Drosophila melanogaster: one gene and its partner. The protein of the gene in region 2 interacts with the protein of the main gene of each other region in a pairwise test. Each region holds a gene or a part of one and is shown on either strand. Other genes may lie near its edges. The genes, in order: Gpxl and Oxp.

Region 1 (3,517 bases), 1.4 Mb from region 2:
GAATTCCAGAAAGTTGTCCTGACCGGAGGGATTTCGCTTAGAGCTTGGACCAGCTGCATTCCATGCGAGAGCTTTAGCATTAGCACATTTTTGAGCATTTCAAGACAAACACAAACATTTTTGGCGGTTTTTTAATATTTGTGGAGAAACAAAGTCATAATTTAATTTGTTCCATAGCCGCTCTAAAAAGTTATTAAAAGTAAAACTCAAAAAAGTTATCCAAAAGTCCCCTTAGTATAACAAATGTGTATTCTCTTGATGAATAGTGAGACTCCAAGCATCACGATAATTTTTAGGTAGTTTTAAAAATTCGAAACAATTTCAATCGAGTCAAGGGAAATTGAAATTCATGTACATTGCTTAGTTAACACAATTTTGGTACACAATGCAATGTTTGGCTCTTTCAAACTTTTCAAGCAAGTATTGTGCCCGAGGTCGAATGGCATTCAATGCCCCCGCACCGCCACTCGATTGTGTCACACGGGGCGGATGGTTGACGTGACGTGCGCCAAGCTGCAACGTTAACTGCAATTTGATAAAGCAGAGTGACAAGTGCAGCAGAGCAAAAGGTCAGCACTCCAGCAAACACTATCACCTTCTCCACGCTCCTTTCCACGCTGGCCATTTGCAACTGACAGAAGTCAGCGGGAAGGTGACAGGCGAAACCAGGTAAGACCGTCAGAAAGAAATCGCTTGGCATGTGATGCCAACATCAGAAACAGTAATCCCCAATGATAAGGCGTCACAGTTGTCGCAGTTATGGAAGCCAGTGGGCAGAAACGCGTATGTTGCGTTATTTATTCGGACTCATCTGCCGAGCAGCAGCTCTATGTCATCGGTCAGGGCAACTGGTTCCAGTTCGGCGCCATATCTCTTGTGGATGTTTCCCTTTCGATCCACCAGAAACTTGACAAAATTCCATTCGATATCATGCTGGTGGCGCGTTAGGAGCTTGTACAGCGGATCTGCCTGAGCTCCCTTTACATCTATCTTGGCAAAGAGGTGTCCTATGTTGGCTCCCTCCCTGCGCAGGTGATCCAACATTTCCTGGCCATCGGACTCGGGCATTTGACCCCCAAACTGGTTACAGGGAAAGTTTAAAATTCTCAAGCCCTGGTCTTCATATTCCTCGAGTAAATAGCGCAAACCGTTGTACTGAGATAAAGTAAGTCCGCATCTGAAGTAAAGGGTGGGCCAAGTTATTAAGAACTTTCTGTGGATCATTCTTACTTGGAGGCAATGTTGACGATAAGCAACACATGGCCGGCGAATGTATCGAGTTGCACTGGATTCCCAAACGTATCTCGAACGGTGAGAGCGTGTATCGTCAGACGCCATCGCATATCCTGCAAATCCTGTTGCAATCTGCTGCGTGTTTGTAATACTACCACCAAGGCCACTGCAACCAAAAGGCCTGGGAAAAGAAATTCTTTATCGAACATCGTCTAGCGTGCTAACTGCATTTGGGATCGCTAAGTGAAGCTGGGAAAACGCTTTAAGTGAAAATCGATTCGAGAGGCTAATTGTGCGTGAAGCGACTGTTAAAAATCGCATTTAAATGTGCGGCCCTTTCGTTTCGGTGCAGACACACACACACACATACACATGCCCCAAAAAAGTGGCAGCTAAAATTGAATTTGCCCAAAAAGAGCTAAAGTTGCATATGCTGACCCACGAAGCGAGTTGCACGTTAACTTAATGTTAAACTTTTTTTGGCCTCTGCCTGCCACACGAAATGAGAGCACAAAACACACATACACACACACACACACAGATGCACACTGAAAACAACAACAACAAAAAGTTGAACAATCGTAACGAAATAATTGAATTTTCATTTCCGTTTTATGTGTTTACTTCCGCTTCATGGACGCGGCACCATTTTCTCCAGCTTTTCCGTTTGCCCTGTCCATATGTGTGTGTGTGTGTGTGTGTGTGGGCTTGGTGATTTCGGCCTATTTGTATACAAAAGGCAGTCAATTTCTGCCAGCTTGAGGAAACTTTTTAAGTCAATTGTCAAAAAGTTCTTAACATCTTTTCCCCAGCCACGCCCCACTTTTGTGGACTCGGTATGGCTCTGTTTCTGTTTCATTTTCGCTGCCAAAATTGAAATATAATTCGGTAAAGTTGCGCCTCTTTTCGGTTCGGCTTTTCCACTTAGACGACGTTTGGATTTGGGCCATAAATCAATGCCAGGCGAAAGGCGTTCGACTGAAATTGATTTAGAATGCGTGGAATGGGCGTAACTTCTTACGGTCGTCAGTCAAGCTTCTGCACTAAAAACAGTCCGAAATGCCAGTGCATTTTATAGTTTGGCTGCAAATCACTTTTCAAACTCTTTGACACGCAGAAAAATATGTCACACTTTCATAAAGCTAAGAAGGAAAAGGCATGATATATTTTAAAACCTATGTAAACAGAATTATATGGCATTATTAAATGCAAAAACAAGAAGACTATTTACTTTAACGATTTTTTCCCATTAGAAAAATATATCCAACTTAACTCACAGAAGAAAGCACCTTTAATAGATCACAGCTGAAATTGTGATTATCATAAAATCAGCATAGAATGATTGCCAACCGGTTTTATAGCAATAACCAGCGATTATGCTAAAAGACATCTCCGTCAGACTCGAAGTCAAATCCATCGAGCATCCAAGATGATCAACTATAGCGGTTTTGCATATTTGATGCACTTGGCATAAACTTAATAAACTTTGCCCCCAGTTACAGGTTATAAACCCGGCGCACCAAACTCGTAAAGATGGAAGCGCGTTAAAGTCACTGAGCCACAACTCGTTGTTTTATGACCAACTCGATGAACTTGCCGCTCCCCCCGTTTGCCATTTCCATCTGGTTTTGTCTAAGCATCTGCCATCATTCTGGCTTTTGTTGCACCATTTTTCACTATTAACAGTAGCCATAAAAGTAGCGTTTGCGCCAATAAAACTTTTGACATGTGGGGCAGGAGGGTTTCCTTAACGTTTTTTTTTCTTACTTCTAGCCGGGCCAGGTGTTACCTTCAACCTTTGCACCTGAGCTTCTCCAGTTGCGTCTGCTGGTCCTGCATCTCCACTTGTCATTTGCCACTGTGGCCCCAGCTACTTGCTACTTGCCACTTGCGCATTTAATTAAGTTTACGCCGCGCTGCACACGCAAAAGGACGAAGGACGTTATTAATTAAATTCCTTTATACACAGGTTAAGCCAGCCATCCCCTCCACCACCTTTCGCCTTTGTGTGTCAACAATTGGAATATTAACGAGGCAACTAATGAAAGTTTACAAAGCCGGAGTCTTTTCCGCCGAAACAAATCGAAAGGGAAACATTTAATAAAAGTCGCACTCACCGATTTTCCGCCCGAGATCAAAGCAATTGCTAGACCAGTTCCCCTAGCACCACTTGACCCACACGGCGGATGCGTGATTTTCGCTACCAATTATAGTGGATCGTCTTGGGAGCCTTTTTGCAGTGTCTGCGTGCAAATCCCGCCGCGTTGATGCACTGCGGCAAAGG
Region 2 (2,938 bases):
GTTTTCCAATGGTTCCCAGGTGTTGTTCTCGTTCGGAAAACCGCTCCACTTCACCAGAACCTGGGGACGCCCATTAACAAACCGTTTGCCTAAGATTTTCTCCACTACATATTCTTCGACATGATCATTAGGCGGTGCATCGACCAGACCAAGATTTGGTCGCTGATGGTTGCGAGACATAACTTATCCGCTCACAGGACGCCGAGCAAAAGAACGGTAAATGGAACGACGCGCAAGGAGGTGCTGCTAACCCACTCGGAATACTATTAGGGATGGGAAAGCTTTTGGTATTTTTTTAATGTGCATAACTCACTATAAGACTTCAATAAGCAACAAATAAATTAAGCTAATTTATTTGACTCTGCTTAATAAATTAGCTCGCAAATAATCTTAACATGATAACCGTATGAAAAGCCTGGCGCTTCTCAGCAACGTTTTTGCAGCCCTGGTTATATTTTATTGAAATATACATATGTATAATAAAATAAAAGCCATTAAATAATGGGAACACGATCTATTAAGCTTTTATTTGTAAGCAATAATTTTTATTAAAATCTTTTTTTTGTCATTGGTCATTCTTTTTCTCCCGGCTCTGCTGGAATAGTTCGGCCTCGTAATCCGCAATCAGCGTCATGCACTTGCCCAAGTTCTCCAGGGGCTCCCAAGTGCACTGCTCTATGGGATAGCCCTCCCACTTGGTCAGATACTGAGGGCGTCCACGCAGATAGCGCTTTCCTAGAAACTTCTCCACTATGTATTCCGAAGATTTCTCCTTGACGTTTCGGACACCCAAGCCCAAATCGATGGATTTCTGGGACATGATCGCGCGCAAGTTAGGCGATTAGTTAGTCAGTTATACTGAGTCAGCACTGCCAGCTCGCTCGAAAGACAACAAGGGATGGGAAAACTCAAGATGTGCACAATTATGTATCGGAGATCGACTTACTCTAAAAACTTTATTTGAACATTTTCTTGTTAAGTATAAAAGTATTGTGAAGAATGTTGTTGCAAGAATATGAAATGTTACATAACGTCTCATGGATAATTTCTAGTTTTAGAAATTTTATAATTTGTCCAGATTTTCCGATAGCGAGGAGTTAAGTTAAGATCACTAAACAACTAATTGTATCGATAGCACGTTCTCAAGAAATCGGTTCTGCCAATCGATTCATTTTCAAATGATACAGGAAGAATTATTTATTTAAGTGGAATTGCAGAAAGTTAACAGTTTTTGAAAAAGCAGTGGACAAGCCAAAGTATGTTAGCAATGCCTATTAACTATGTGAGAAATTGCTCCTTTTTAAGACTGACCATTATATAAAATGCCGCTGGCCTGGCGGTTGTTGCACCTGTTTTTGTTTTGGTTTTGGTTTTAGTTTCGGTTAAACCAGACATCAACAAAAACTTGTTTCGAAGTCGAGTGCAGTTTGCCTGAGCGGAAATAATGGTGGGCACTGTGTGGAAATGGGAATGTATTTTAATTGACCATTGGCAAAATCTGCGCTTTTCTTTTCAGGCCACAAAAATCGCACATTGTCTATGTAAATTCGCTTTCCACAGCCATAATGTTCGACTCGCGTTGGACAACAATGTCATTGGCATGTTTCCCATCATTACGGCGCACAGAAAATGCCAATTTACATGAGAGTATGTAAACTAGCAATTATTTCCACAGAGTCTGCATCTGGCGAAGAGATTTTTATTCATTGAAATGAAGCCAAAGAAATGCGTCACGTTCGGCCAGTTGGAAAAAGTAACGGCAGTGTGACAATTCAAAAAACTACGCGCCGTTTCGGACAAGATTCAAAATCTGTTTTGAAATACAGTCTTACTTCAGTAAGCTGAATTTCTTCTTCATTTTGATGTCAAACAATCGACTTGTATTGAAGATGTTGAAGTTTGATATCTAAATTAAAAACATGAATTCCAATTTCACAAGATTTTTTTTTATGTTTCAGAAGATCCAACTGGAGGAGTTCGAGCTATAGAAGTGGGACTGTAAGAGTCAGCCAACCTGTTGCCATTACTGTTATGATTTCGAGCGCAAAACTTGTGCCGCAACTTAGCCACATGTGCACATGGGCACAAACTCGTACATTTCTTTCACTTTCTTTCTTTCGGCACAACGGCAGTGGCGGCGAATTTGTTTTAATTCGATAGAGTTAACAACTTGGTACATGGCGGAATAAAAGTGAAACCGGCAAGGCGACAACAAGGGCAGCTGGAAGGGTCTTTTCTGGGGCTTTCGTTCGAGCGCTTTTCAAAGTCAAGCGGCGGATTCACTTTCGTTTTCATCGCAATATTACAAAATATCCAAAGCGACATGCAGACATGTGTATATCTTTAGTATTTAGTGTTTAATTTGCATAGTCGAACGCCAAGAAACTCGAAACTTGTTTGCCCATTCTGCTGTTTGCTTGCTTTTTGGCCGAAACACGCGCGACAAAAATGCTTCTGCATTATATACAAAAATGTTGCTAGCCGATTTCAATAAGTTGTATTTCTTGATTTTTTCTCTGAAATGATTTAAGTCAATATTCATATATAGATGTGTACATGTGTAAATATGTATATACAAACATATGTATGTATGTGGCCCATAGAAATGATGCGGTGTGATCATCGCTTCATTAGCAAGTTAATTTTATTAACCCTGCTTTTGTCTCTCGGTTTTTGCTGGTTTCCATAAGGCCCAAAAAAGATTCCGTCTCGGATTGCGCAGTAGAAAGGTTGTGGTGTATTGATGTCTTATGCAACAGATTTAGTTTTAATTTGTTTTGTTTGGACTTTTTCAGCCTTTTGTAACTTTGTTGCCCTGCTTTGTTGCTGATTAATTTGAAGATCGAGATCCGTTGTAATTGTGTAAATATTATGTCAAGCTGACGTGACACTCTCCCAAGTTCAATGACACGCTTTTCCCCTAAAAAAAATCACTTAA

Evidence for each region.
Region 1: the proteins of Oxp (region 2) and Gpxl interact in a two-hybrid assay, tested with the Drosophila melanogaster proteins (one large-scale study listed by BioGRID).

The regions. Positions count from the first base shown.
Region 1 is NT_033778.4:19,054,472-19,057,988, forward strand, and holds Gpxl (glutathione peroxidase-like), read right to left. Parts: upstream 1,454-3,517; 5' UTR 1,443-1,453; coding exon 1,231-1,442; intron 1,178-1,230; coding exon 808-1,177; 3' UTR 760-807; downstream 1-759.
Region 2 is NT_033778.4:17,633,297-17,636,234, forward strand, and holds Oxp (oxpecker), read right to left. Parts: upstream 872-2,938; 5' UTR 821-871; coding exon 566-820; 3' UTR 501-565; downstream 1-500. Other genes in the region: rhi (rhino), read right to left, coding at 1-180.